3 linked regions of the Nothobranchius furzeri genome follow. The main gene of each other region encodes a partner of the protein of the gene in region 2 in a complex. Links are inferred from orthologs where the notes say so. Each region holds a gene or a part of one and is shown on either strand. Other genes may lie near its edges.

Region 1 (11,081 bases), on a different chromosome or scaffold from region 2:
CTATGCACGAGCAGCTACTGAACTGTGAAAACAGCAAGCAGAAGTAGTTGACTATGTAACTCTTATCTTTATGTGGGGAAGCCTGAATCATTCAGATCAGTAAATATTTGGCAGGAACAGACTGATACTTTGTAGTTCTAACAGGAATATTTATGCTAATGTGTGGGAATTCTGTTAACTCTGCGTGAAGTCCTGCTTGTTTAATCTCTAGGTGCTGGATATAGGAGACAGTCTTTCCATCCCGGACGAATTCACAGAGGAGGAGAAGAGCTCGGATGTCTGGTGGAAGCAGCTCGTTGCAGGTGCAGCAGCAGGCGCCGTCTCCCGCACTGGCACCGCCCCCCTGGACAGACTCAAGGTCTTCATGCAGGTGAAGACGTGAAGGTTACACAGCGATAGGTACAGTGTGAAACAATGTGGCTAAGCTTCTGTGTGTTTACGTCACAGGTTCATTCATCCAAAACCCACAGGATCAATCTGATTGGAGGCTTCAGGCAGATGATCATGGAGGGTGGTCTGATGTCACTGTGGAGAGGAAATGGAATCAATGTTTTAAAGATCGCGCCTGAGACGGCCATCAAATTCATGGCTTATGAACAAGTCCGAAGCTTTAAATCAAACTTTTTCCTACATATGATTGTAGATACTGTTCTATAAGACAGTTAGCGGCTGTATGTACAGATGTTCTATCTTTTACAGTATAAGAAGCTGCTGTCATCAGAGGGAAAGAAGATTGAGACACATAAGAGGTTTATCGCCGGCTCTATGGCTGGAGCCACAGCACAGACGGCCATCTACCCAATGGAGGTAGGAATCCACCTGTCGCCTCCTGGGATGAGAGAAAAGTGAAAAGGGGTCATTTTTTTGTGCTTCTTGTCTTTCAGGTGCTAAAAACTCGCCTGACCTTGAGGAAAACTGGCCAATATGCAGGAATGTTTGACTGTGCAAAGAAGATCCTGAGGAAGGAGGGAGCCATTGCTTTCTATAAGGGCTACGTTCCAAACTTAATTGGCATTATTCCCTACGCTGGTATAGACCTCGCTGTTTATGAGGTACGAGACGAAGGAAGCCTCCTCCGGTGTTGCTTTTTTCATTTGCTGTTTTAGATCCAGAATGAAACCTTTTCGTTGCTCTTAGACTCTAAAGAACACCTGGTTGTCGTATCACGCCAAAGACTCGGCTAACCCTGGAGTTCTGGTGTTGCTGGGTTGTGGGACCATCTCCAGTACTTGTGGCCAGCTGGCCAGCTATCCTCTCGCACTCGTACGCACACGGATGCAGGCGCAAGGTAAACGCAGACGGACATTTACACTACAGCTAAAACTATCCTTCTACAGTTTCCTGTTAGCATGTAGCTAAAAGGTTTTATTTGACCTGGATGTTAAATCTCATTAATTAGACTGATTCCTTGAAGGATAAATGAGCCCTTTAGCTTAAAAAATTTACTTTTCAGCCATGATTTTAAAGCTTTTTCTTCGCGAGCTACTTCCATCCAGCTCCATTATGTTTTATTTTACTGTTTGGTATTTTCAGTTCATGTTACCATTTGAAATAAATATTTTAATCATGCTTTTGTTACATTTAGCTTCACATTCAAACTCATTTCTGTCATTTAAATATAAAAATTTTAATCATGAATCTTATTAACCATTTATCCAGTGTTTAAATCAAAACTAAAAGTTTATCTGCTTCTTTCTTCCAGTTATTTATTAGTTATTTTTTATAACACTTAACAATAAGGGTCCCTTTATTAATGTTACTCAGTGCATTATTAAGCATTAATAAACAAAGAGTCCCTTTGTAGCCACCACAGCTACGCTGGGGTCACACACACACACACACACACACACACACACACACACACACACACACACACACACACACACACACACACACACACACACACACACACACACACACACACACAGACTTCCGGCTGCTCCTCACTCAATCCTCGTAGCTCATCGGCGTTCCAGGATCTCACCGGTCCAGTCGAGTTCACGTGGATGAAGACGCCTCCTCCACGTCTGCCACCTGTATATGTAAAGGAGGCCATCTGATTTTTGATGCACCTCAGCTGTGGTTGTGCACGTTCTCGCTGTCATGTTTGTTCTCTGCTGCCCCACAGACCTGCACGTCCCAGCGCACCGCCACACCCTTTATAAACGTTCCTGGTATTGTTAACTATTACCTGTCCTCAAGGTTAGGACAACGGGTTGGGGTGGGTCTTCTTAGCATCGCATTACATAATATGGTTAAGCAATGTTAATACATTATCTAATAGTTTATTAATGCTTAATAATGCACTAAGTAGCATTAATAAAGGGACCCTTATTGTAAAGTGTTTCCCCTTTTTTTTTTGCATATCTATTTATTTTAGGGACAGCAGTAGCTCAAGAGGTAGAGCGGGTTGTCCAGTAATGCAAAGGTTGTAGGTTAAATCGCAGCTGCCACCAGAAAATGCTGTTGTTGTGTCCTTGGGCAAGAAACTTAAACCGCCTTGCCTGCTGCTGGTGGTTGGATGGGCCGGTGGTGCTAGTGCTCGACAGTCTTGCTTGCACCAGTGCGCCCCAGGGCATCATCATCACCAGCATGTGCGGAAGCGCCTTGGGGGGGTTGTAGAACCCTAAGAAGGCCCTATAAAAAACAGGCCATTTCCCATTTTGACCTTCTTCTGAGAAGAGTGCTTTTATTATCATCCTATAAAAAAAACAAGTTATAAATTATCTTCTTAGTTGCTTGTTTCAGTCATTTTGTATGTGTGTGAATTAGTCCCTATTTTTGATTTTCTGGTTACAAATCACTGGAATAAAACTCAAAATAGGTTCTTCATTAAGTCAAACTTCTGTTTATATCTGAGTAGAAACTAAAACAAGACTTAAGACATAATTGCGCCAGAGATCCCATCATCAAAAAGTATTATAAACTTGTTTAGTACACTTTCCGATCTGCACAGTGTGTCAGTATTAGAACATGAAGCACAGACATGCGGGCTGCACATGTAACTGAGTGTTTTTGTTCCTGCAGCGTCTCTGGATGTGTCAGACCAGCCCTCCATGAGCTCCTTGTTGAGGACAATCGTAGCCAAAGATGGCTTCTTTGGGCTCTATCGTGGCATCCTGCCAAACTTCATGAAAGTCATCCCTGCTGTCAGCATCAGTTATGTGGTTTATGAGTACATGAAGACTGGCTTAGGAATCTCAAAATAAGCGTGAACAAAAAGAGGATCATTTAGTGTTTTATCAGACTTGGAAAAAAGCCTGCAAATAAAAAAAATTCCAAAACGACAGACGGACATCCAACGTAAAGAGCATGACTTCATCGGACGGAAGGCTGTATGGTTTTTTTAGAGCTGCCTGCCAGTAGTGTTTTAATCAGTTGTGGTGTGCATGCTTCTTTTATTATCCTAAAGTTGCACATAACACACTCTCTACTTTTACACTTTGTCCCAAACAATAGATGACACACACACACACACACACACACACACTTCTGAGGCTACATAATAGTAAAAAAACACAACATTATATATTTAGTTTCAATGTTTTCCAGGTAATGACTGTGACAGGAAAAGTTTGTCTTAACGGAAAACTATTTTCTGTGTGGAAAATAGTCACCTGCCACATTTGTGTCAGAATGAGAAAATCAACACTGTCTGAGTTTGCACACGTCTAAACACTGGAGACAGGATTTTACACTTTTTAGTTTTAAAACGACTTGTTTTACAGGACTGCAAATGTTCAGGTGGTAGCTGCTGGTTTTAAAAACAACACATTTTTCTAACGGTGGAACAATGCCTGTGTGTGTGTGTGTGTGTGTGTGTGTGTGTGTGTGTGTGTGTGTGTGTGTGTGTGTGTGTGTGTGTGTGTGTGTGTGTGTGTGTGTGTGTGTGGGTGTGTGTGTGTGTGTGTGTGTGTGCGCACGCACACGTGTGGGTGTGTGGGTGCGTGTGTGTGTGCAAAGACATGCATGTTGTGCAATGTGAAAATAACTCACCCCATATTCTTTGTGATCATTTAATTGTGCCTTACAGCCTCTTGATGCAAATCTCTGCGATGAGTTTTTTAGCTGCATATACTGTTTTAATGTACTGTACGTTTTCAGTTAAGCTTATTTATTGGACTGACTGATTAAAAACTGTTATAACAGGTCCGACTGAAAATACCTGCAAAGACCACATTCTTGTCACGTGTCTCTTCTTTGAAACAGATGATTTAAAATGGGATTTTTACTATTTAAAGAGGACAGTGAGTGGTTTCTCTTTACATTTCTGATCAGCAGTTTGAATGAGACCCAAGCTGTTTTTATTCAGAGTTAATATTATTTATGTTTTCTGAAATCTGATGTAGACAAATGACTTTATATGCATGTTTGAAATCACTAATGTCTTTAATAATAAGCATGGATTTGTTGAGTTGAGAAGTTGCTGTTGTTAAGTTAACTGCGGGAGAAAAAGGTGAGGAGTCGAACGAAGCAAAACTAGTTATTAATGTGTTTACAGAAAGGAAACCCAATAGAAACGTAGGCAGCTAATTTTGCATTTGGAGGTTCTGGTGACTTCTTGCTTATAAGTGGTAATTTCTGTTTTTTTACAGTGACTGTTCATTGGTGTAACAGGTTTTCTACTTGTCTCATGGATAAATAAAAAAACTCAAGATATTCTGATATTTTACCTTATTATCTGCATGAGCGCTTAATGAAATTTAACTTAAGTATAGCTTAATGAATTGCAACTTGAGGAGGAGACCAATTTAATGCTGTTTTTTTTTTTTTTTTTAGTATTTATTCTTATGGAGAGTGTCAAACATTGGTTGTAAGAATAAAAGGTCTGCAAAGTTTTTAAGCCAAAAATCAACACTGCCTGGTCTTTTTTGTCCCTTCTTTGTTCTCATCGGTATGGACCTTATTTGCACGATGTTTGCTCCATGTGATCAGCTCAAACTAAACAATCAGCTGGCTTACCCTCCACCATTTTCACCTGAAATAATCAATGGAAATAGTGCATAATTTCTGTTTTTATTTCTCAGGATCTTGAAAAATTTTAGTGTTATGATACTGAGATGTTAAAATAGTTATTAATGTTAACTAAAGTTTAAAAGTGCCCATTTAAAGCAACAAAGCATTAAATTAATATAATCAGCTTATAACATCTGAAAAATGTCTTGGGCAACGCAATGTATTTTGTTAAATATTCTAAAGCATTGGCGCTACTAGTTAAAATAAAGCTACTTTTAAACTTCATTGTGAATAATGTGATTTTTTTTTCAGAATGGAATTTGTTTACTTTGTTTCTTGCCTCCAAACGTAAACTACATTGATTCTAATACTTCAATTTCTATTTTTCCTCTGTGTGCGTTCTATAATTTTTTCATACAACAATGAAAAAGTTTAATTTTCGTTGAAAGAGGAAAACAAACGTATTTATTTAGATATTACAAAGGTAACAACCCCTCAAATGTAACTGACGTCACGTCTCTTCCCGTTCCTGATTGGCTAAAATCACTTTTTGGCCTCTGCGCTCGCCGTACTCGGAGCCCCGCTGTGCTGCTGTTGTGAAAAGTGGAGGACGCGGACAGGTCTTCGGTTTGAAGACAAACTGCTGTCCTGAGGAGCGGCAGCTGGTGCTTGTGAGTGTCTCCTTTGTAGCTACACGGGAAACCAAAAGCGTTTCTATTTAGCTGCATAATTTGTGTCGTTAGCAGTCATTATTAAAGCAGACAAGTCGTTTTTGTTTGTTTGTTAGTAGTGGCTGCTGGTAGCTAGCTAAGTTGAACTGCGAGCAGCATCTAAAAATATTCACCCTGGCTGAGCTGAGGTGGACAGGAACAGCCTGACGTCCAGCGGGCAGTGGTGGGTTACGTTGACTTTATGATACGGCACATGTGGTTTCACCTGTTGCTCATGAAGCTAGAAAAGCTTTTTAAAGCCGTTAAGCCTTTGGGCTAAACCACACAGCTCACCGTTGTCATACGCAGCAGTGATGCACGCACAGTTCCAGTCATTTTAACACATCAGTTACTGTGTTTTTGCAGCAGTAACACTGGACTGTGGACAGCTGTTTGCTGTCATCACGTTCTGATACAAACTGGGTCTCTTCATGACACCTTGATCTCCTGATTGTGATCCTGTTGTCTGTTTAGATGTCTTCAGCAATGGTTTGGGTCAGCTGATCAGGCATGGGACTTGGGTTAGTGGTCAAATACAAATATTTAACATTTTTATCTAATATGGGATTTTAAATAGACTTCTAATTGGACTGATTTATATATTTGTAAAGTGTAAAATCATAAACTAAAACTTTTTTGTGTCTTTGTAGTATCTTGATTCACATGTGTTGTGTTAACAACAGCGTTATACATTTGCAGGGTCTCTAGTGTAATGTAAGGTGCAGTTCTGGGAAACATTGGTGGAGTTTCTTTGCTGGCTGGTTCTAGTCTATTTACTGTATTACAATTTTATCTTGCAAATTAAAACGAGAAATTTAAAAGCCATTTATTTACCTCAAATAAATGGTAAATGGCCTGTATTTGATATAGCGCCTTCTAGAGCCCTGGAACCCCCCAAGGCGCTTTACAACACAACCAGTCATTCACCCATTCACACACACATTCACACACTGGTGGGGATGAGCTACGATGTAGCCACAGCTGCCCTGGGGCGCACTGACAGTAACAGACAAATAACTTCTTTTTAAGTTCCCTTGACAAAAGGCAAATTTCTTACTAACAAAATTTTAGTTGCATTTTAAGCTGTGGTTGTTAGTGTCTAAACGGCTGGAGTTTTGTAAAATTGGATGTTCATAGCAAAACAATTCTCCTGACCTTGCAGTGGGAAGTCAGGCTGTGAGGCATCATGGGAAACACCAGTGACAGAGTATCTGCTGATCGCCATGGAGCGAAGGCCCAACGCTCCGACAGCAGTGGGAGTCACAAGGACCAAGAGACCAGCAGCAAGTTGGTGGACAGCACAGATGACCCTAACATCTTCAATACCCATGGACCTGAGTCAAAGGTAACCCTCCGGCAATTCCGACTAGGGTGCAGAATCGTTTCTTTGCTCTGTGTGATCAGTTTTCTGAATATCTATTGATGTTGCACGTTTGCTGCTTCTAGACATCAGGAGAAAAAGAATTCACCCCAGATCTCGACGACTTGGTTAAAACTGGTCCTCAGGCTCGACCCACTGTAATCCGCTGGGCTGGAGGGGGAAAAGAAGTCTACATAGCCGGTTCTTTCAATAACTGGAGCACAAAGATTCCACTAAATAAAAGGTAAACAAATTATTTTGTAATTCTATCTCACTAGGAGCTAGCTCAGGGGTGGACAACACTGGCCCTTCAGGGCCACTATCCAGCATGTTTTAGCTATTTCTCTGCTCCAACTCACTTTGTTTAATGGTTGTGTCACCTGCTCAGTGGCTTATTTAGCTTGTTAATCACCTGCTGATCAAAATCTGTAGTGTTGAAGCAGGGAAACGACTAAAACATGCTGGATGGCAGCTCTCGAGGACCGGGGTTTTCCCCCTCTGAGCAAGCTGCAGGAGTAGAGATCACTTAAATGTTTTTATTCAGTTTAGATTATCTGGTGTTGCACTTAAACTCTTTTCTTTTTGAAGTCACAATGACTTTGTAGCCATTCTGGACCTGCCTGAAGGAGAGCACCAGTACAAGTTTTTTGTAGATGGACAGTGGCTCCATGATCCATCCGAGGTACAGCAGACCCACCTTTGCTCTGCTTGTTTTTCTTATCATTCACCATATTCTCAGTGCCTCCTAAATTAGTCTAAATGTCTCAGAACAGTCAGTGTGTTTACATGCACATCAGAAAACCAAACTGTTGCCCTAAGTAGACTGACGTGATTTTTTAAAATCACGTAAACATGTTCGTCTTGCTGAAGGTGAACTGGTTGTTATCGTAACCAGATAATGCGGTAGAACACAACTGCATCTGCATGTAAACGGCTCCGCCAAGCTGATACTGGTAACTGCTGAATGTGACGAGTCTGCAGAAGTGGTCTTCTGACATTATCACCACAAAGTAACAAGAACCAGCCGTCTGGACTTTGCGCAGCTGAACCGAAGTAGTAACTGGATCTCTTTGACTTTGACACCGCTCGTCTTTGGAGATTAACGGATGCTCCGCTTATTCTGACGAGCAACGTTAACAGAAACACAAACTAATGACATTAGCAGCTGCCCGCTCCAATTGCACAAAAACGTTTTGTGAAATTATTGTAACAAGACTGTTACCGCGGGTTACAACAGAACTACGCACCACACCGGCGTTATCACTTTCATACACATTTATTTCACAGGACTGATCTGCAGCACAGTTCATCCCACTGCTGCCTCCGCTCGGTCGGTCGGTTATTCCCCAGCCGGCTCCTTGTTCCTGCAGCCGTGCATAATTATATAATAATATACATACGTCATTAGATGGCTATAACTTGTTTGTGTCTGCACATGTGGAGCAGATATTTTGTTGTTTTATCCCATCATGAGACTTTGTCTGCCACGATGTGGGCTGTTTATCCACTAGAATTGCCTGTTACCACAGCCTTCAGCCTATTTTATCCGCTGGAAACCTGTAAAATGTAACTTTACTGTCTTTCTTTCATCTATTTGTGCAGCCTAGAGCTCTACATGTGTTAACCATGCTGATAGATTTTATTTTGCTGTTGTTTAGCTCTGTTTATTGACAACTGACAGCTAAACACAACAGGGGTCAACATGGATGTGCTGGCTTCTTGCTTTCTAGCCAGAAGCTGGGTGGGGGGTGGGGGGGGGGCGCGCACGTGACGTCACACTTCAATATCATTGCCCCTGATCGTCGTACCCCTGATTAGTCATCAAGACAAACCTGAAGAATTTGGGTGTTGTTTTTGACCAATCAATGTTTCTTGATGGCCACTCAAAAACATTGGTCCGAAACTGTTTGATCACATAAATATCTCCAAACTGCGAAGGTTGGTGTCAAAACATGAACTTGAAATGATTCTCCATGCCTTTATCTCCTCCTGTCTAGATTACTGTAACACACTCTTCACATGTTTTAACAAAAAAGCCCTTGACGGCCTTCAGTTGGTCTAGAACTCTGCAGCGAGGCTCCCAACTGGAGCAAACAGAAGAGCACACATCACTCCTATTCTAATGTCTCTGCACTGGTTACCCGTTAACTTTAGAGTTCATTTTAGAATCGTGACTATAACTCTCAGGGCTCTACATGGTCAAGCTCCTCCCTATATTACTGAACTGTTAAAGCCTTATGCTCCAACCCGAGCCCTCAGGTCCACACACCAGAACCTTCTAGAAGTTCCAAAGACCAGATATAAAAGTTAGGTGATTACTCCTTCCAGACTGTTGCACCCTGACTTTGGAGTGATTTTCCTTTATCCTTATGCAGCATTGACAGTCTGGACACTTTTAAAAAAACAGCTAAAGACCCTTTTATTTAAAGCTGCTTTTACCTAAATCTTTTATTTTCTTATTTTTAACTCAAATTTGTAATCTTCTTCCATTTATTTTACTTAATTTTTTCTGATGTTAATCTATTTCTGTTTTGAGATCATTGTTTTGTTTTGATCTATGTGAAGCACTTTGTGATTCTATGCCTGTCATAAGTGCTATATAAATAAAATTGACTTACAAAATTTACTTCAACGGGTCTGTAAGCTAACCTGAAGAATGCCATCGTGAAAGAGCACATGTCACCACCTACTGCACCGGAGTGGAACGAACTTCATTTGAGAGATCCGTTTTCTAACGTACATGTAAACTAGAATGAATGTATTAGATCAACTTAGGCCTAGTCCACACGTAGCCGGGTTTTTTTAAAAACGAATATCCGCCCCTCCAAAAACTTGAATCCACACCATCTCATTTAAAAAAAAAAACTCTGTCCACACGTACCCGGATAAATACGTTGTTAAGGACATGCCAGACCTGTAGGCGGCAGTACTTCCCCCGTTCTTAACCTCGTCCTTCGTCTGTGGTCTTCCGCAAGGAGCAGTAATTCCGCTTGCAAAAACAAACAAGCAAAAAGTGCTTGGACAATTGATAAAGCGAGCGCAGCTCTGAGGGCTTCCATGCTGTCGGCTAGTGTAAACACAGGTCGCACACGTGATGTCAGCATTTTTTTGTCGCGGAAAATGGCGTTGCAGACCTTAAAACTCTGGTTTTGTCTGTCCACACGCAGACACCCAAAACGGAGAAAACGCAGATCTTCACTTTGGCCGGAGTTATTAAAAAGATCCGTTTTCGTGTGAAAAAACTCCGTTTTCATGTGGATGACAGGCCAAAACGTAGAAAAATATCTACGTTTTGGCAGAACCCCGGCTACGTGTGGACAGGGCCTTAGATGCACGTGTAAACACACTGAGTGATTATGAGAGCATGTGGTGAAGACGAGATCAGTTCCACTATTGTGATTCATAAATAATTCAGTAAAATAAAACTGAGTGGTAATAAAGGCCAAACTGTTTAGATCAGCCCATTTACAGTGGCACAGGAGTTAAGTGCTTGCCCCGTAATTGGAAGATTGCAGGTTCGAGCCCCGCTCAGTCTGTCGCTGTCGTTGTGTCCTTGGGCAAGACACTTAACCCACGTTGCCTGCTGGTGGTGGTCAGAGGGACCGGTGGCGCCAGTGCTCGGCAGCCTCGCCTCTGTCAGCGCGCCCCAGGGCAGCTGTGGCTACATCATAGCTCATCCCCACCAGCGTGTGAATGTGTGTGTGAATGGGTGAATGACTGTGTTGTAAAGCACCTTGGGGGGGGTCCCAGGACTCTAGAAGGCGCTATATAAAATACAGGCCGTTTTCCATTTTCCTGTTAGTTCGTTTGCTTCTTGTTTTTAACAAAAGACACGACAGATTTATTTGTGCTCGGCATCAGTTCGGTGTGGAGACACCAACCCCCAGTCAGAGTAAATAACAGCCTGTAGACCATTAACTGGAAAGTTTGCAGAGGTGGCTCCGAACAATGTAGTGCAGCTTAAACCAGATACAAAGCAGAAACTAAAAATAGAGATGGGTAGGTTCCTGAAGTAAAAGGAACTTCACTCTCATCAGTGATCTGAAACCAAAAAT
Region 2 (10,312 bases):
TTGACGGACGCCGTTGACGCACTGCATTTAATTGCTGCTCGTTTAAAATTGAGCACAGAGGCCTGAACACACGTGACTGATTGGCATTTCATCAAATGAATGTAAGCAAAAGACATCCCATCCAGTAATCATACTCCATAATCCAAAAGAAAAGAAAAAAATCATAATCAACTTGTCACTGTAATAAACTGATAATGATATATTTCTAGACGTTGACCGTCGTTGCAAAACACCTTCTAAAAAGCAGACTAGTTCTCTAGAAAGACAATCAAGTATCTGAATAATTGTGATTGAGGGAAACAAAGGTGTGACACTGAATTAAAAACAGCTAAAAATGAGTATATATTTAAACATCCAGCATTAGAGCGTAATGAAAGAAAAAACAAGTCATTGGAACCAAAACTCCATCCACTTAATGCATTGATAAATATTTTCAGGTATTTATTTATAAAAAAAAATATAAGTCGGAGCTGGACAATCGGTCACAACGAGGACAGAACCATGAACATTTAGTCTTTGACATTTAACAAAATAAAACCCAACATGGAGCATTCTTAAGTCCCTGACACGTACCAGAACCACAGAGGCCACTGCACTAATGTGATGTGATGGGAATGAAACGCTGCGGCGCTCTGGGACGTCGGCACCGCTTCTCTGATCCCTACTGAGGAAAAAAGGTAATAAAAAATAACAAAGCAGCAGAAAATTACAGAAACTTGTGCAAAAGTGCTTCCTGCATCCTATGAACATCACTCAATCCTCAAACTGTGGCTCCGCCCCCTCCCCGCAGCAGGTAAAAAATAAAAAAAGTGATCTTGTTCTCTGTACTGAAAAGCAGGCCTTGCAGGCTACAGCACAGAACGTTCAGTGTAATCACTTCTGCGTAATTTGTAAGTTGGGATGTTGATATCTGCTTTTAAACAGATTGAGAAATTTAAAGACCTCCCCCTCCCCGAAATGTTGTTTCCTGCTCTAGCTAGCTGGGTAGCGTAATCTCAACAACTCCTAGAGACCCAGTCAGCTCTGTATGTTTCCCCTCTGCACAGAGAACACCAACCTGCATGAGCGCCACGGAACAATCACCTCATCCTCAGTTGGGATGAAGTAAGCCATGAATCTGTTCCATGCTTATTGCTATAAAGACACTCAGAGAAGAAAAGGCTAGCGATGATTGTTTTTGCAAGCTATCGTGCAAGTAGTTTAATAAGATTCGCGCACATTTCAAAGAACTCGATGGTGTGGCTTCCTGGTCGAGGGGTGTTCTCCCCTCCCCCCGTCGAGTCGATGGACGAGGTCGAGGATGACCCTAAGGACCCTTCGGCGGTCTTGGTGGGCTGCACAGTGCTAGACGTGGCTGAAACGTCCGCCCCATCGACATCGTTCTTAGTGGTGGTGCGGTAGTTGCTCACAGAGCCAGAGCGGAGCGGGGTAGCAGTTCCAGACTTTGTCTCCACCATTTCATCTAAATAAAAAAGAAAAACTTTTTTTTTTTTAATGTATCCAAAAACAGCTCAATCGAGACCAAACAAAGGTAACATTTGAAAGCCCGCATGGTAAAAGCTGTGTGTACAGAAAACACATCAAACTTCCCAAAGGCCAATTTAGTGAACCCTTTCTTGCTCACTGTCTCGAGTGAAAACATAAATCTAACAAGTCGTGTTTGACTTTGATGACGTAAGTCTAGTTTTACCTCAACAACCTTTATACAGCACGCCTGTCCCACATAAAACACTCCGAACATTTCCCTTTCAGGTCCGTTCAAACAGCACAGACTTCCAAAGCCTTGAGCTGCACGTCAATCATTTATGAAATCTTTAGCAAGGCTCCAAACTACAGATCAGCACTGCGGACACGCAGGGAGCCACGCTTCAGCGTCAGCGTTAGACAGCTTGTTGTTTGTTTGTTGGGGAATTCCTAAAAAAAAAATCTGACAATTAAAAAAACAAAAGTTTTGTAATAAAAACATTTTGATTCCCCTCCAGAGCTTTATACTTAGAAGTTGGGTTTCTTCTTGTAAATACACGAGTCAGACATTTTTGCCTTTTTTTCTTGCACAAGTCAAATATTTAACAATCACAGTTAACGTTTTTTCACTTTCTGATTTTTCACACTTTTCTTGCAAATGTCTAAAACAAAAATGAGGAAATGAAGAAAATACCTCCCAAAAAATGTGACGTTCCTGTTTGAAATAAAACATTTTCACATTGGGATTACACACTTTTAACCCCCCCCCCCCCAGCTAAATGAATAATATTTATAATCTGCAGCAGCCTAGTGCATGTAGGAGTCATATGTCTGGACAGCAGTCCCTCTCTAAAGGACACCGGGTCTTGGTGGGTTAATGAGTGAAGAAAAGCATCTCTGTGTTAAAGCTCAACACAACAAAAGGTTATTTAGTTCTAATTAGTTACTAGCTTTTAAATAAATGTACTCTATGGTTTCAAATTCAGCTATCTTAACTATTTTCACTGCAAACAGCATGATTGACGTTTTTGTATCAACACAAAGCGTGTCAGAAATTCTGGCTGTTGCCATAACAACCAGGAGGACAACTGCTGTCCTCGTCTTTTCTCACATTAAATATATTGTTCAACATTGAATTTGACCACAAATCCAACTTCTCTGACACGCAGTCTCGACTGTATTTCCTCATCATTTTTGTTTTGTTTGGAAAACCGACTCTCCTCCAGACTGTGCTGTTATACATTCCAACGAGTGTTGTTTATTTTTTTTCACTATCACACCATCAGCTGATAGGATGACAGTTCAGCGTGCGGCCGCTCGGAGCAGCGTGGGAAAACTTACCATCTATGCTACGAAAGTCAAGGAGGTAGGTTCTACTGTCCACCTGGTACAGTTGAAGGCTCATCTTGGTTTGCATTCCAGTAACGGGATTCTTCCTCCTCACGCGCAAATAATACGGGTTCACCACCTGGAAAAGTTTGAATGAAAAGAGGAATTGTATTTTTTTCATGCGACTCGGGTAAAAACAGCTTTTTGAACATATTTAACAATATTCCAGAGTTGTTTTCCTCCTAAAGACTTTGCCGTTTACCTTCCACTCATAATCCAGCTGCTTCATGGCCCGACACACTTCCGTCATGATATCATTGGGCCTGCTCTGACTGCGGATCCCCAGGTGCCACTTAGCCCTCCTGACACCCTGGTGCTTGGACTTCTGGGGGTTCAGTTCATCCAGTGTGTGGCGAGGCCTGGGAGGAGTCTCTGCCAGCAGAAAGGGCACGCGCTCCGGATGGGGTTTGGCGATGCCGGCCACGGCCGCGCCGGATGATGTCAGGTGCTGGTCGTCTAGGAAGGAGTCGGGCGGGCTCGACGCCAGGTAAAAATCCTTGGCTTCGCTCATGATGCGGCGATTGTCGATGATGAGATGGTAGGCGACGGCTAATGGATCCTGGTGGTTGCGGCTGTATAAGCAGGTGAGGACCTCCTCCTCTGTGCACTCGAACTTCTCACAAACTTCCTTTAGGGCCTCGTCGTCAATCATGTTGTTGCTATAGGACGGGTCCTCGGGGAACAAGTACTTGGGTAGGTCCTGTTTAAACCACTCATCCTCTCTGTGGGGAAAAAATGCGGCGTGAATAAAAACCACGGATCATCGTTTATCTGTGTCAAATTAGTAAACGTTCTCATTGGGCTTACCGGATCTCTTTAATAGTGGCTCTTTTCATTGGGTCCACTTGCAGCATGTGCTTTAGGAGGCTAACTACTTGAGGGTTCAGGTACTGCGGGGTGAAAAAGATCCCGTCGCAGATCTTTTTAAAAAGTGTTGGCACGTGATCATCGTCGAACGGGAGCGTCCCACACAGCAGAGCGTAGAGGATGACACCGCTACTCCATATATCCACCTCCGGACCAGCGTATAACCTGAACACGAGCACAAATACGCCACTGTAAAAAACACAACGTTCGACTCTTCTGTGTTTGTGTTCACAATAATAAAAGATGGCATTACCTTCCTGAGATGACCTCCGGAGCAGCGTAGTTTGGAGAACCACAACTTGTTCTCAGGAACTCTCCGTCTGACATCATGTTTGACAGACCTGCACAGCAGTTTGCACCATCATGGCAGGGCAATTCTACCGGATACTTCTAAAATGTAATAATCTATTAAAGGGACTTTTTTCCTTACATTATAATAGTTCAATGGTCAATATAAAACATGTTAAGATTTTTAATTGATTATTACTGATATTTCAGTACCTTCCAGAATGAGCCATTTCAGGACTCTGTCATTTAAAGAAAAACAAGCTGGGGGGGGGGGGGGGGGGGTAGGCCCACCCATCCACCGGCTGCTATAAGCTGAGATGTAGGGCTGAATGATTTTGAAAAATAATCTAATTGCGATTTTTTTCCTTTAATATTGCAATTGCGATTTAAAGCTTCTTTCCGGAGTATTTCTCGTATCCGATGGCACCATCTAGTGGCTGACAAACATCACACACAAAAACTCTGTTGCATCGGTTTGTTGAAGATGGCGACTTCACGTTTCTGTTTATAAATGTGCTTCTGTAGCCGACAAACAGAGCTAAAACACTGTTGTAATACTGTTTTACGAGTATTATTCTCAAAAGTATTGGAATTTTAAACAAAGTCAAAGGTTTTCTAGAAATTTCAACGCTTCAGACATTACATTACTCATTTATCTTACCATACTTAACTTATTGTATTGAGGTTTGGGGCAATACGTATAAAACAAACACTAATCCTTTGTTTCTGTTACAGAAGAAAGTTTTGCGAATTCTATATAAAGCAAATCCAAGAGAACATACTAACAAATATTTTGTTCTATCTAAAATTATGAAATTCAAAGACTTGGTTAACTTGAAAATTTTACTAATTATGTTTAAGGCTAGAAATAATTTGCTGCCAACTAATCTACAAAGGTCCTTTGTTTTGATCCCAAAAAATGATAAGAGTAGAAAGAAACCAGAGTATAAAGGATATTTGTTCGTACTACATTAAAGCAAATGTGTATTTCAATATATGGAGTGAAATTATGGAATAACCTGGATGATGAATTAAAAAAATGTACAGCTACTGATCAATTCAAAAAAATGTATAAAGATAAAATGCTAAAATCGTATGATTTGGTGAGTTGAGGATGGAGGATCAATGTTTTAGTAGTGATATTATTTGTGGAAGTAAGAGAGCGGTTTATTTTTTGTGTACAAGGCTATTTTGTACTTTTTGTTATTTATCTTGTCTTAGTTAAAGGGGGTAGGTCATATAAGATTTTTTCTTCTTCCTCCCCCTATTTCACTCGAATGCTTATATTCTGATTTGAAGTTTGTATATTTAAACTTTGAGTGAAATAAATTATTGAATTGAAATGAATTGAAGTCATGTTGTGTTTTCATATATTTATATGTTAGAGACTTACTTGTCCGTGAAAAGTTCATCAAACCTGCATCAGCCGAGTCATTTCTTAAATTTGAAGCAAGTAAGCGATAGTCTAACGTTATTGGTTAGTTCTGGTCGGCGTTCAGTTTCCTATTGCACGGAGTTCTGTGGGGCAGGAGGCGTGCTTAGCAAAAAATAAATAAAAATGACGTATTGCTTACATTACATGATAAGATAATCACTTTTACGGATTTCTGACATGACATATACATAATTTCTGAAAGGGGAAAACTCCGGAAAGCAGCTTCAATTCACGATTATTTTCTCAAGGGGCTTTACTCATAATTTTCAACTAACAGAAGAAAAAAAAAACTGCAACTAGTACTGAATATAAACAAGTATATATAGCTACATATCTTATCAATAAGATTATTTGTCTACATATACATAAACACTCACAAGTAAAGACAATTTTTGTACTTGAAAGTGCAAAGCTGATTTAGTGTGTCTACCTGTGTACCCCTCTGGGACAAACGGACAAGATTAAAATCTACACAAAACCCTTTAGGGATGGGTACCGAATTCGGTACTTTTTAAGGTACCGACCAAATTCCATAGTACCGACCGAGCACCGATTCACGTCATTTGAAACGGTGCCTCGTTTCGGTACTCGTCCTTCATAACGAGAACTTGCCAAGACAGCTGCGCATGTGCAAGAGCGTTATGTCGGTCGCTGCGAGCGAGTTGTAAACAGAGCAGCATGGGTAGAAAGAACGCACGCTAAAGCTTGGGTCCACTTCACTAAATGTGATGGGTAACTGGGTGATGATGAAACCAGCGACAACGATCTAAGTGAGACATCCTCATCTTAATCTGCTCCGGTAGGTAAATATAATTAGCTTGATATGTTAGCTTCCGTTTCGCTAATGGTGCGTTCGCTTTCTCCTCGGAACTGCAAATTTCCGACTAGAAGAACATGAACGCGCTCTAAAGTTTGGCTTCACTTTACTAAATGCAACGGGTGATTGGGTGAAGATGAAACCAGTGACAACGATCTAAGCGTGAGGCATCATCGTTTTAATCTGCTCCAGCAGTTAAATAAACTGTTTAAGATAACGTTAGCTTGATATGTTAGCTTCCATTGCCACCGTTGTTATCAGCTAATGGTTTGTTCGCTTTCTTCTCTGAAATTCTAACTTTCCAGTAGGAAAAATCAAATGAAAAAGGACAGCAAAAGGAATGAAGATACACAGTAAATTTAGTTCACAGTAAAGATGTTTGCTTCAGTTTAATTATCAGCTTATAAAACTACAAGGACGATGTTAAAGTACAAACAGTTGTATGTTATTTATCATGATATTTATCAAATATGGTTATATATTGAGGAAAATATATATTTAATTATAAAAGAGAATTAAAATATTAAACACTCAAAAGTATCGAAAATTGGTACCGTTAAGTACCGGTATCGATTCCTAGGTACAGGGAATTAGTACCGAATCGATTCAAATGTCAAAGGTACCCATCCCTACAACCCTTCCAAAGCCTTTGTTGAGATTTTCCCATCTGGATTAAAATCCATTCACACCAGCAATAGTTTTCTCCTTCCTTGAGTTTGCGGACATATTTCTGGCATAGCTACAGCCAGCAACTGCTAACTAAAAAGGTGTTATAACGCCTCATCTCAAGTGCGTAATAATGCTCTCAAACTCACACACAGAAGACATACTGGAATCTTCCCATAACCACAGAATGCTTGTTGTACAACCAGAAACCACGGAGTTTACCTTTGTGATCAGGAGCCAGCTCCACCTGCTCACGCTCCCTGGTTTATTTCTCAAAACTCACCAAAATCTGCAATTTTTGCATTCATGTGTGCGTCGAGCAGCACGTTCTCGGGCTTGAGGTCTCTGTGTACCACCATGTGCCTGTGGCAGTAGTCTACAGCTGAAATGATCTGCTGGAACAGTCGACGGCTCTCCTTTTCTTGCAGCTGTTGCAGCAGAAACGACACATTAGGTGTGATTTTACCTGTGACTAAGCAGCAGTCAGGACACCGCTGAGACTATCAATACACGCAAGCACGCGCACGCACACACACCTCTAAGGACAGCTACAGTATTGGCGAGTATTACCTTTCCATTCTTGCAGATGTAATCGAAGAGCTCTCCTCCGGAGACATACTCCATGACCATGAAGATATCAGTAGGGGTACTAATAACTTGATATCTGCAGTAATAAAAATACAGGTAAAATAAAACAGCAGAGGAATACAATACATTTAAAACAGGTCAAATTGCAAACACTTATTATTGAGCCTGATGACTTGCATCTGCACGACTCACCAAAATAGGCACATAACACCGTGATTTACGGCATGTCAGATAAATAAAAGAGAAAGGCCCAAATAAGTAACTCCCTGTTTGTTGTTGCTTTATTTTTATAACTTGCTACCAGTAGAACATTTGGCTTTTCTACACTGACTGATCAGTCACCTGTAGTTAAAACTGGGCGGGGCATGTCAACAAGCTGTTGGCATGATGCAAAACGTTGTTATTTTAGCCCAGATGAGGGCTCTGCCCCGCAGAGCAAAACATTTAGTCACTTTCCACTTTCTGAGGTCTGAATGTAAATGAAGAGGAAATGACAGTGCTGCATTAACAAAGGTACAGCGGAAAATATTCAGACCCCCGTCAATTATTGCAGCCATTTGCTAAAATAAATGAAATTTCTTTTTCTCTCATTCATGTACACACTGGACCCCACACTGACAGAAAAGCACATACATTTTAGAAATTTATGCAGATTTATTTTAAAAATGACAAACTGATGTATTTCATGGTCCTAACTATTCACATCCTATGCTGTGACACTCATATTTCACTCAGGTGCTTTCCATGTCTTCTGATCATTCTTGAGATGGACCTACACCTTCATTTTAGTCCAGCTGTGTTTGATTATACTGATAGCAGCCTTGCCTGCTGGTGGTGGTCGGAGGGACCGGTGGCGCCTGTGCTCGGCAGCCTCGACTCTGTCAGTGCGCCCCAGTGCAGCTGTGGCTACATCGTAGCTCATCCCCACCAGCGTGTGAATGTGTGAATGACTGATTGTGTTGTAAAGCGCCATGGGGGGTTCCAGGACTCTGGAAGGTGCTGTATCAAATACAGGCCATTTACCATTTCAGTGTGCAAGACACATGAAAGTCCACACAGAGTTTCTAAAAGACACCTGAAGGACCCCGAGATGGTGAGGAATAAGATTCTCAGGTCTGATGAAACCAATATATAACTTTTTGACCTTAATTCCAAGGGTGTGGAGAAAAACCAGGCACTGCTCATCACTTGTACAATACATTCCTCACTGTGAAGCATGGCGCTGGCAGCATCGTGATGTGGGAGTGTTTATCACCTCCAGAGACAGGACCACTGGTCTCAATCGAGGGAACAATGAGTGCGGCCAAGTACAGGGATATCCTAGACAAGAACCTTCTCCAGAGTTCCCAGGACCTCAGACTGGGCAGAAGGTTTACCTTCCAACAAGACAATGACCCCAAGCACACAGCTACAAAACGAAACAGTGGCTTCACAGCAACTCTGTGACTGTTCTTGAATGGCCCAGCCGGAGCCCTGACTTAAATTTGGTCAAACTGCTGCAGTATAACAAAGAGTGAAAAATTGTGCCTCAATTATTTACAGCAACATGTGTGAACGGAGGCTGGTACTAGGGCCCGACCGATGTTGGGGTCATTAACAGTATCGGCCATCGACCAAAAAGACGGCCGATATGGCCGATATCGCGCTACCTATCCAGCAGATGGTGCCAGCTTTATGAACTCATGTTGTGTGGCTCCACTCCTTTGAACACAAATTATTGTTTTGGAACTTTTTATTTATTTATTCTTATTTATGTTTCTTATGTGCAATTATTTCCTGTCCAGGGTGAATAAGTTCACCAAGTTAACTTCCACAGAGTGTTACTTTGTTACAAAGCACAAGTATTACGTTTTATTTATTGCTGCATTTTTATTATTTTAATATTCTTATAGGGATCTTCTGTCCCTAAACTTGTGTGTGTTGTTAGATTCCCCAGAGTTAGCTAAGTCAGAAAAAACATGTTGTAACCAGTTGTTTTAGCATAAAGCAATGGAAGGGAAGGCTTGCATTCACCTACGTAAAAAAAACTCTAAAATGTATGTGAATTCACTTACATTGTTTTATGCTAAACTAAGAAAACCAACTGCTGCCAGATCATATTGGGCTGGTTATAAAATGCTTTTTCTGACTTGTCTAACTCTGGGGAATCTTAACAAGACACAGTTTTACTAAGTGGTGGAATATTCCTTTAAGTTAAAATGTATTTGTGGAAACCACAGTTTACAAGAAAAAACTTGAATGTTAGATTTATGCTGTGAATGAGTTTGTGTGTTCTGTTGTTTTTGAGATTGCTAAATAAATCTTATTTGCATTACTTGGAAACCCGAGTGAGTTATTGAGACAGTTCTTTGGTGTGTAAGAGAGAAATAAGTTTGCATCAAAAAGGCAGAGAATGAAGGGTTTAAGCTTAAGAAAATTTTTATTTCTTTTTTTGTGAGGGAGATTTATCGGCCATTATATCGGCTATCGGCCTTTGTTAAGGGTTTTAGATCGGTATCGGTCCCAAAAAGAGCATATCGGTTGGGCCCAAGTTGGTGCTTCTCAATCAATCGATCAAATTGTATTTGTATAGTGCTGTAGGGTTAGCAAATTGAGTGCTTTAAGAGCTCAAGATATATATTACCTCTACTTATGACCAATAAGCTGGGATACTCTACTTAAATATAGAATATCCACCCTGCTTGGTCTTTAAGGTGTTTAATCAGAAGATCTAGGATTCTTGCTTTATCAGGGGATGGTACACACTTCGTTTTGATTCAAGAGTCAGGCTTATAAAAGTAAGAATTTATTTTACAAAC
Region 3 (9,522 bases), about 24 Mb from region 2:
TCCAGTTTGCAGCTAAGTAGCCAGCCAGAGTACCATAATGTGTTGGAATATGTTACGATGTTCTCAAAGTTAGGTATGGTACCTGAAAATCACCTGCAGATTTCTGTCCAACTTGCTTATGCGGAGCAGTCTGAGAAAGTATCTGCTGGATTAGTGAGTGTTGTTGTGTTTGGAGACTCAAAGCAATACTGAGAAACAGTGATCTGAAGACATCTAAAAAGCCAGTCATTTGTAATATAAAACAAAATGAAAATAGGTGTTACTACAGTCTCCAGCCTTTTCTATGTTTGGATATACTGTATATGTGAAAAACAGCCTTGCTTTGAAAATAATACTTGGCCTACGCTGCCCTCTAGTGGACGCTAACTCAAACTACATTCCATTTGACTGAAACGTGACGTTTGGCTGTAATAACAACGTAAAAACACGGAACAAGAAACGTATAGTATACATTTTTATTTATTTATGATACATTCGTAAAAAGTAAATTAATTTGATATATTATATATTATATATAGAGAGAATTTTCCCCACACCTATTGTGCGCATGCGTGTCCAGGGGGCGGATCTTTTAGCTGCAGAAGAACCCAGTTATGTTGTCGACACCAGTAAAATGCAGCAGATGAGACCGGTATCTGTTATAATTAACGTTTCTGAGGTAATGCCATAAATGTCATCTTGTGTTCATAGTTGCCATTTGCACTTGTGAATCCCTATTACCTCTGTCTTTAGCCAGTAGGGCTAATATAACCTTTGGTTGCTAGCTTCAGTGAAATGTTAGCTGTAACCTCTGTATGAGTTAACGGTGAAAATGCTGAAGTATTAGCATCGGGTGCTTTATTTGCAGCTTTATAAAACTCTGTTAATGTTTTTATTGGTTTGTCACGGTCTCAGGTTGCTAAAACGTCAACGAAGTTTTACCAGCAGATTACTACGTAACATTATTTACTGCTAAAGCTGTTTTTTTTTAATTCTTTAGCTCAAATTATACCTTTTGTCACATGCAAACACATTTTGTATACGCTCCTAATATTTTAGCATAAACTGTTGCAGCTGATTAATGTTGTGCAGAAATATTATTTTTATATCCTTCGCATATTCTAAACAATGAGCCTTTGTGATCTCTCCTTATTGCAAACAGGCACAATATGGGTCACCTGGAGGTGATTTCACTGTTCAGCTATAGACTCACATTCAGCGTTTATTTCTAAGGTGTTGACACTGTTTGATTAGGTTTAATGTCATTTTCAATCTGTGTGTAACAGTTTTCCCCATTAGAAGCATCCCATAGTAATCCATTAATGTTTATGACCTGTAGATCACGTGACAGACAGTGACTAAGCATTATCATACGTAGAATAAACTAGATAATCCCAGTGTCATGGTTCCCAGGCAGGTTTTATAGCCATTATCATGGTGCTTCCTGGAAATGGCATGCTGGGAGGTATATTATGTGAGGATCAGGTTGAATCTAACAAAACATTTTAGTTGAACTCTTCAAAATATGAATTTCTGTCCCGAAACACCCTGCAACTTTCCAGTTTCTGTTTATATGTGTTATTTTATGAGCATGTATAGTATAAACAAGTATATGCTATTTAAAAATATAGTCTGTAATATTATAGCTGAGTCTTTCCTCCCCAACTCTCACCAGCAGCTATCAATGATTTATTCATTGTTGAAGTATGTTTTCTGAGTTTCTGATTTGGTTCACTTGCAGTGACCTTGTGACATCCTACAAGAAAACAAAACCATGGGAAACACGAGCAGCGAGAGAGCTGCCATAGGTCATGGAGAGAAGGCTCAGCGGAGGGACAGCCGAGGGATCAAAGAAGGAGAAAGGCCAAAGATCCTAATGGATAGCCCAGAGGATGCAGATATCTTTCATGGAGAAGATATGAAGGTATTTATTCTGTCTCATGGGGAGATGCTGGTTACGCTATACTTGTTTTTGAAACACAACTCTTAACAAAATACAAGAAAATGATTCATATTTATATAATTATCTTGCCCTAAAAGACGGAGTTAACTGAGAAACCATTTTTGTTTTAATACGATTGGTCACTCTGAGTTTAAAAAGCAGGCTAAATGTGAAAATAGTCTACCGTTATTTCCTGCATTAGCTGTAGATAGAAAAAAATAATGGGTGAAACTCAGATTAGAAAAGCTAGTGACATTTGCACGAGACAATGTCAAGTTTGCATGGACTCACCCATTTTGGCTTGCAATGGGGAAGGCTGTTGTTGATTTAACATCCAGATTTGAAATCCTACGAAGTCCAAGGAAGATCCCGCCTTTCTCACTTCTGATTAGCTAGAAAGGCTCTATTATGATTGGCTATTTCATTTAGCACCAAACAGTCTGTCCTCGCTAAGTGCAGACTGTCCTGCCACCAGCAGAAAGCTGTTTTGGGGAGTTTCGTAAAGAAATTGTGAACTTAGCGCTATAATAACCATTCTGTCCTGTTTTGCAAAATATTTTATGTTTTATGTTTCATAAAAAACTGAAAAAAAAGTGAATTTATAATCTTGTTGCATTTATCAAACTGTTTGATTTACTTTATATCTCTTGGCTCTCAAGCATTAGAGTACATAGGATAAACATATGTGCCTTACCTGGGTACAAAATTTAATAAAACTGCCCTATTCTGCCCAGCTGTGTGCATCAGGTCTGTTTCTTTTCTAGAATAATGAAAACTGGTTAAAAGTAGGTCTAAATCAGCTTTAAATTAAATGTTGTGTCCTTGGGCAAGACACTTAACCCCCTTGCCTGCTGGTTGTGGTCGGAGGGACCGGTGGCACCTGTGTATGGCAACCTCACCTCTGTCAGTGCACCCCAAGGCAGCTGTAGCTGCATAGTAGCTCATCCCCACCAGAGTGTGAATATGTGTGTGAATGGGTGAATGACTGATTGTGTTGTAAAGCGCCTTGGGGTGTTCCAGGACTCTAGAAGGTGCTATATCAAATACAGGCCATTTACCATAAATGATACACTTTTAATCTGATGATGAGAGATGTGCTCTAACTTGTAAACAGCCTTAACCTATTAAAGTGAAGACATAGGACAACCTAATAATTAAGTAATAAAATAACCCCAATAGAGCTAATCAGTCTACAGTGTGATGCAACAAGATTTATTATGTAACTTGATGGAAGTGGTTACTTTTACTGAATGATCAATAAGATGTGATATTCCATATAAATATGAATTATCAACCTTATTGGTCTTTGAATATTTGATTTAATATGAACTTGGGTTCTTTGGACTGCCAGGGAAACACACACTTCATAATAATAATTCAGAGTCAAACATATAGTCTATAAAAATGAATTTAATACTTTATTTTTAAACTAATGACACATTTTGACATTTTTCAGGTTATTTTATGAAAGAAACTGAAACTGGTTTGTGCAAAACAGGAAAGGATGTTTATTATAGCGATAAGGTCACATTTTCTTCAGAAAACTCCTCAAGATCAGGCTGTAAACGTAAAAACCCTGCAGCGAGGGAAATCTGTTTCCTCTTACATGAAATAGCCTATCGTAGGAGTGCCCTTCCAGCCAATCAGAGGTGAGAAAGGCGGGACTTTCCTTGGACATCCTGGGATTTCAAATGACGCACCATGTCTTGGCTAGTAGAAGCTAACTGTTAGCATTAGCGACTCCACAACACAGCAGAACTCCTTCAGACTTGTTTTATTTGTTCAAATAAAACATCAACGTTGGAAACCAAACAGAGTCTGTGATTGAAAGTCGTGTTGGTGTTAGCCAATCAGATGTGAAATGTCCAAATATCAGGAAATAAGACTCCAAATCCTGCCATCTTCTACTCACCTCTCATCTGGCTCAATTCTACTTCCTGAAACAGCTTTTTTCCTACAGTGATCGACTCACGAGGCATTGATTTAAACTAGAGACCACTGAAAAATATGTTGGGAAAAAAGCTATTAAATTTGGTCTTCAATGTGTGTTCCAGGCTCCATTAGAGAAGGAGGAGTTCCTCGCGTGGCAGCAAGACTTAGAGGCAGAAGACAAAGGACCGACACTAGATCGACCAACAGTGTTTCGCTGGACTGGAGATGGAAAGGAGGTCTATATCTCTGGATCCTTCAACAACTGGGCCAACAAGATTCCCCTTATACGAAGGTGGAGACATTCATATATGTTTCTAATAAGAGAACAGGCTTATTCTGGAAAATGTGATAAAGAAGTCCAGTTATTTTTGATCCAGCCTTAAGTTTAGACTCACACGTCAAAACCATCTCCCGCTCTTGTTTCTTTCAACTGAGAAACATTTCAAAAGTCCGTAAACTGGTTTCTACTGCAGATCTGGAAAAAAATCATCCATGCCTTTGTGTCATCACGCTTAGACTACTGTAACGCTCTTTTTACTGGTCTCAGCAAAACCTCCCTCTCATGCCTTCAAGCCATCCAAAATGCAGCAGCCAGACTCCTAACCAAATCCAGCAGACGCGCTCACATCGCTCCAGTTTTACAGTCCCTCCACTGGCTCCCGGTAGAATATAGAATACAGTTTAAAGTTTTAGTCCTGACCTATAGAGCTCTTAACAACCAGGCTCCAAGCTACCTATCTGAGCTTTTATCCCCACACACCACCTCAAGGAACCTCCGATCCACATCTGAAAACCTCCTGGCTGTTCCTCGAACCAGACTGAAAACCAAAGGGGACAGGGCCTTTCAGACTATTGCACCCAGACTTTGGAACAGTCTACCTTCAAATCTTCATCTCTCTAACATTGTACAGGTCTTTAAAAATCATCTAAAAACTCACCTTTTCATCCAGGCATTCCCTCCCTAAATGTTCTAAAAGATGGCTTTGTTTGGGTTCACACCTTCACTTTGTTTATACTCATTATTTTATTTTCTACTTTATCACTGCTATTGTTTTTCTGATGTTTTTATTGGTTAGAGGTATTTGCCCTGATCTTTATCATGTTGTACAGCGCTTTGTGATTTATATCTGAGAAAGGCGCTATATAAATAAACTTTTACTTACTTACTTACAGTCTAAACTGACTTTTGGTCCTCTTTGTAATCTGTCAAAGTCAGAACACCTTTGCAGCCATCGTTGATCTACCTGAAGGGGAGCATCAGTATAAGTTTTATGTGGATGGCCAGTGGACACATGACCCTGCTGAGGTAAGCAACAGCATCTTAAAATGTTCCACCTTAAATAGACGTTATTTCACAAATCCTAAGCTGGAAATTGTCTTCTCCGCAAAGGAGACTCGGCCTCTAAAGCTAAACACATTACAGATCTGCTACCACCCTGAAAACTCTGGAGAGCTAACAGCTTCTTTTCACTGTTGCATCACTCAGTGATTAGCTGTAGTTTTGTTTTGCATAACCTGAAATGTTATTGCACTTAGCATTTCTGGTGCAATCATACTTTTCAAGGACAGAGCCTGTTTTTATTACACTGTGATGTAAACACATTATCATATGTTCTAACCTTGAACAATGTTCTAGAGAGTGGAACATTTATGCTTTAGGGAGACATGTTCAGGTACTTGCTTTTTATTTTACCAGGTAAAATGTTTGAGAAGAAAAACATGACATGGCTAAGATGTCGATCTCAGCGGTAGCACCAAAAATTTTTACATCTGGACCTTTAAAAACAAAGAAAAATGATGACATCAATAAAAACACAAAACCTTTACATTGTGTCTTTGTCCAGAATCTTTGACCTGCATCAGGCTTGCTTTGGAACAATGTTTTACATTGGCACCACGTGAGGGTGTATTTGACGCTCCTACTTCATGGTTATAGTCCAGAATGCATAAATGAGGAAGTTAGTGTCTCGTCTGTTTCTAGGTGAGCTTTAGGAACCTGATTGTGTTATGTTTTACAGCCTGTCATCACCAGCAACCTCGGCACAGTCAACAACGTCATCCAGGTGAAGAAAACAGACTTTGAGGTGTTTGATGCTCTAATGGTGGATTCACAGAAATCCTCTGACCTCTCAGGTGAGCGCCGGTGAAGGCTTGCTTTCCTTTTTGTCACCCCCCACAGAATCCAGATTGAGAAAATGTAAAACTCTGTCAAACAAATTTGATTCATGTTCAAATGTACATTTTATCTAAATACAGTTAAACTTGCCATAGATAAGGTCTGCCCTGTTGGCCTCTTGGTATAAACATGTAAGAAAATGTCGAATTATGGGAATTAACAAAAGAAAAACACCTAGATTTACAGAAAGCATTTTAAATTAGGGTTTTTCTTTGTCTCTGTTCTCCTTTTTCAGACCTTTCTAGCTCTCCCCCTGGGCCATATCACCAGGACGCTTATGTTCCTAAACAAGACGAGAAGTCCAAGTCTCCACCCATCCTCCCTCCTCACCTCCTCCAGGTCATCCTGAACAAGGACACTGGGATTTCAGTGAGTGTTTGAGATATTTCTGCTGTAAATTCTCCGTTCTTATTGTTTTCACCTTCTGGTGCATTATTTATTTAGATAAATAACAGCATCTTACTGTAATTAGAAATCATTTTTCTGCACAAATCTGATTGCTGTTTTGTTATATTTATGTCTTGCTTTCAGTGTGATCCTGCTTTACTCCCAGAGCCAAACCACGTCATGCTCAACCATCTCTACGCTCTTTCCATCAAGGTACAGTTTCTAGTTTACCAAAAGTGTGACGATTCTGAGGTCCTTTCATCAGCCAGCATTGTGAGAAATGACCAGCTTTGTTGGATTTTTCCTAGAAGGTGCGTGCCGTTACCGTGGATAGTAAACTAGCTCAGAGCCCATAAAGCACGAGGGAGAAATGCCAGCGATGATAACAAACGGCCAAAAATGACTGAAGGACAAATAAATGCACTTGTTGCAGCGTTCTGACCGGAAAAACAAACTGATCTCACATGCCGGAATATAAATAAAGACAGAAGTTCCAGACTAAATGGAAAAAATGGGTAGATCAAACGAGCAGAGTTTACACTGCAGGGCCCAGACCCAGACTCTGATTAGATAGTCGTTTTCTAATCTTTTTCCTTTAAGTTTACCTGAGGTGATGAGTTTGAATGTTACGATGAACGATTGTAACAAATACATCAGAAAGTGTCAAATATTTAAAGATGCGTGCAGTTTTATTAATACATTACTGAAACTATTTTTAAAGTAACACTAAACAGCTTCCTGCTCCTCTGCCCTACTGGTGAAAAACAGTCGTGCAGCAGCCTGCTGTAGTTAGTGCTAACAACGAGCTAACACTAACATGAGCCTACTAATGATAACATAAACCACAAATTAAAAAGATCAACACTGTTGGACAAAAAGTATTATTACTTACAAGTTCAGTAGCAACAAAGCCAGGTCACCATCAGCCTATGGTTTCAGGGCCTCCTTCAGCTTCCTCAAAGTAATGTAGGCCACACCGATGTTCACTCTGGTTTTAGCTCTTTGCTTCATCCCCAAAGACATTACTCTCTGACTGTATTTCCAGGCTCCACCATGATGCCAACAAAAAAAGCAAACTTTTTTTTCTTTTTCTTGTGTTTTTTTATTGCTGGTCGGCGAACTGAAAAAACTAACTGCTAGCCTTTCATTAGCTAGCGACAGAGAAAATAGCTAACAGCCATTAAGTAGGTAAAGAGCGCCCCCTAGGACACCTGCCACTCTACACAACTGTTAAGTGTTGTTTCTGGCCAGCAGAGGGCTGCAAAGTGCTGTCCCAGGTCAAGTTGGTAAAGTTTCTACTTACACTAACTCCACTTTAAAAGGAACTGATTCAAGTGTTATTCTTAAGTGTGGCATTAAATAAATCAAATTTGCAGATATGATTATAAGTTATATAAATTTTATCTAATTAGACACATTTTAACTGCTGAAATCTGAAATGAATAGTGGATGGGTTCATAGCTGTCAGACTGAAACAGGCTCAACAGACACTTCATGAAAAGAATGAGAAAATGAAACAATGAGGTTTGGAGTGTTTTAGGATAAGAGCCAAGTGTTTGCTTGTGACAGCCCTGGGAAATGTCAGGAAATTGGGGTTTTGGGGACTTCCCTTTGAAAATAACATGTGTCATACTGTGATTAACTGCAAAGCAGAACTATTCTTTTGGTTTTCTTTACTACATCCTACTGGGTTGATTTCCCGAATGAAAGGAGGAGAGCCAATGTACTATCAGCAGAAATCTCATGAGAACAAAAAGCATATAGTTTCAAACAGAGAATTTTGACTTTAACTTTTAAATTCTTTGTTGTTTTTATTCCTCCACAGGATGGAGTGATGGTGCTTAGTGCGACTCATCGCTATAAGAAGAAGTACGTCACAACTCTACTGTATAAGCCCATCTGATTGCAGGACTGTATGTTGCATTCCAGCCTTGTGTGCTATTCTAACAGTGAAAAATATTACCTCTGTTTTTTTTTTTTTTTTTTTGCCCTGAAATAGAAAGATTGTAGGGTCAAACCCTTACTGGTTTCTCTGTCAATATATTAAAAAAAAAAAAAAAAAAAAACATCTGGCTTTTAAGTTAATTTCTATACGAATATTCAGAGCTGGTACTCAATTATCTCCTAACAAATATCACTAAGGTGAGACATAAAGTATGAATAGAAAAATTCCAATAGAGTTAATATAATTAACTTTTAATTATATTTAAGTTAATATATTTGGGGGGGGGGGGGTTGTTGTCATTTAACATTTGAGCAGTGGTTTCCCTTTATAAAAACTTATTAAAGGTCAGATGTAAAACATGTTGCACTTAAAACAAAGTCAAACGAGCACAGCCATGGTTGGAGGCTTTTGAACGACAAAGGGTTTTCTGTGTTTCTGCAAGAAAACTAAAAGTATGACCCAGTGTATCAGAAAACATGACAATAACATTTATTGAGTAAAATTATTAGATGTGTGTGAGAAGTTCAACTGTGAACTTGGATTAGCAGTTAGTGCTGAAATTTTCATTGAGGGTTAACAGTCAGATTTGAACGATTTCTGGGCCTTAGCATTTTTTTTTTACTTGTTGCTAATTGTGCTAAAACATGAGCAGCTGATGTCTGCATCAATGCCATCTTATGGTGGAACACTTGAACTTTGGAACAAATTCCCAAATAATCCTTCGAGCACACATCATTTCTCAGAAGTAAGCCGTTAGGACAGGCAAGTAATTGGCCTGATCACAAATCTGTTTTGTAGAAACACAGAAAATTCTATATTGGCCTAATTTTCAAGCACCACTGTTTAAATCAATCTGATATTTTATTGAGTACATTTTGTATTTGCAGTTATTCTACATAGTAGGATAGTAAACATGCTCAGCTCACCTGTTTATTATATTATTTTGGTAGTTTATAGTGACAAAAATAGTTTTATATGACACTAAAATGTTTGTAATGAAACAAACTATAATCGTTAGTAAGATAACTGAATAACCTCGTTAAAAGAGAGGTCTCTGACATTTTTATCCGACAAAAGCACTTTGTGCACTGCTGTGGTTCTCTGTCTCTTTGCCTGTTTATGTTCACTTTTATTAAAGTTATTTGTGGCCAGAGCAGGTTT

The links.
Region 1: the proteins of prkaa1 (region 2) and prkab2 are in contact, whole or in part, in a crystal structure (PDB 4RER), measured with the Homo sapiens proteins. The link is inferred for Nothobranchius furzeri from reciprocal best matches to the Homo sapiens genes PRKAA1 and PRKAB2. Residues at the interface, in NP_006242.5 of Homo sapiens: Gly20, Val22, Lys40, Lys42, Asn59, Arg60, Gln61, Lys62, Val69, Arg73, Val93, Ile94, Ser95, Thr96, Pro97, Ser98, Asp99, Ile100, Met145, Met175, Ser176, Asp177, Gly178, Glu179, Phe180, Arg199, Leu200, Ala202, Pro204, Glu205; in NP_005390.1 of Homo sapiens: Val80, Arg82, Ser84, Ser108, His109, Asp111, Ile115, Ser138, Asp159, Phe160, Glu161, Val162, Ala165, Leu166, Ser182, Ser184, Gly190, Gln191, Glu192, Met193, Tyr194, Ala195, Phe196, Glu199, Arg201, Lys203, Ser204, Pro205, Pro206, Ile207.
Region 3: the proteins of prkaa1 (region 2) and prkab1a are in contact, whole or in part, in a crystal structure (PDB 6C9H), measured with the Homo sapiens proteins. The link is inferred for Nothobranchius furzeri from reciprocal best matches to the Homo sapiens genes PRKAA1 and PRKAB1. Residues at the interface, in NP_006242.5 of Homo sapiens: Gly20, Val22, Lys23, Ile24, Thr32, Lys40, Lys42, Asn59, Arg60, Ile63, Arg64, Val69, Ile72, Arg73, Ile76, Gln77, Val93, Ser95, Thr96, Pro97, Ser98, Asp99, Ile100, Phe101, Met145, Met175, Ser176, Asp177, Gly178, Glu179; in NP_006244.2 of Homo sapiens: Pro79, Val81, Arg83, Leu103, Pro104, Thr106, Val113, Ile115, Asp159, Phe160, Glu161, Val162, Phe163, Ala165, Leu166, Met167, Val168, Asp169, Ser170, Gln171, Arg201, Ala202, Pro203, Pro204, Ile205, Leu206, Pro207, Pro208, His209, Leu210.

What each region holds. Positions count from the first base shown.
Region 1 is NC_091751.1:56,437,833-56,448,913, forward strand, and holds the start of prkab2 (5'-AMP-activated protein kinase subunit beta-2), read left to right. Parts: upstream 1-5,508; 5' UTR 5,509-5,627; intron 5,628-5,687; exon of another isoform or gene 5,688-5,850; intron 5,851-6,828; 5' UTR 6,829-6,852; coding exon 6,853-7,011; intron 7,012-7,112; coding exon 7,113-7,270; intron 7,271-7,614; coding exon 7,615-7,708; intron 7,709-11,081. Other genes in the region: mitochondrial adenyl nucleotide antiporter SLC25A24, read left to right, coding at 212-370, 448-600, 700-807, 885-1,052, 1,138-1,288, 3,028-3,209. UniProt on the Homo sapiens protein: Non-catalytic subunit of AMP-activated protein kinase (AMPK), an energy sensor protein kinase that plays a key role in regulating cellular energy metabolism.
Region 2 is NC_091746.1:66,864,426-66,874,737, forward strand, and holds part of prkaa1 (5'-AMP-activated protein kinase catalytic subunit alpha-1), read right to left. Parts: intron 7,591-10,312; coding exon 7,497-7,590; intron 7,355-7,496; coding exon 7,210-7,354; intron 4,062-7,209; coding exon 3,974-4,061; intron 3,886-3,973; coding exon 3,661-3,885; intron 3,576-3,660; coding exon 3,056-3,575; intron 2,933-3,055; coding exon 2,806-2,932; intron 1,463-2,805; coding exon 1,185-1,462; 3' UTR 1-1,184. UniProt on the Homo sapiens protein: Catalytic subunit of AMP-activated protein kinase (AMPK), an energy sensor protein kinase that plays a key role in regulating cellular energy metabolism.
Region 3 is NC_091746.1:43,138,219-43,147,740, reverse strand, and holds prkab1a (5'-AMP-activated protein kinase subunit beta-1a), read left to right. Parts: upstream 1-532; 5' UTR 533-658; intron 659-1,720; 5' UTR 1,721-1,753; coding exon 1,754-1,903; intron 1,904-3,975; coding exon 3,976-4,145; intron 4,146-5,065; coding exon 5,066-5,159; intron 5,160-5,871; coding exon 5,872-5,986; intron 5,987-6,264; coding exon 6,265-6,398; intron 6,399-6,560; coding exon 6,561-6,629; intron 6,630-8,241; coding exon 8,242-8,319; 3' UTR 8,320-8,453; downstream 8,454-9,522. UniProt on the Homo sapiens protein: Non-catalytic subunit of AMP-activated protein kinase (AMPK), an energy sensor protein kinase that plays a key role in regulating cellular energy metabolism.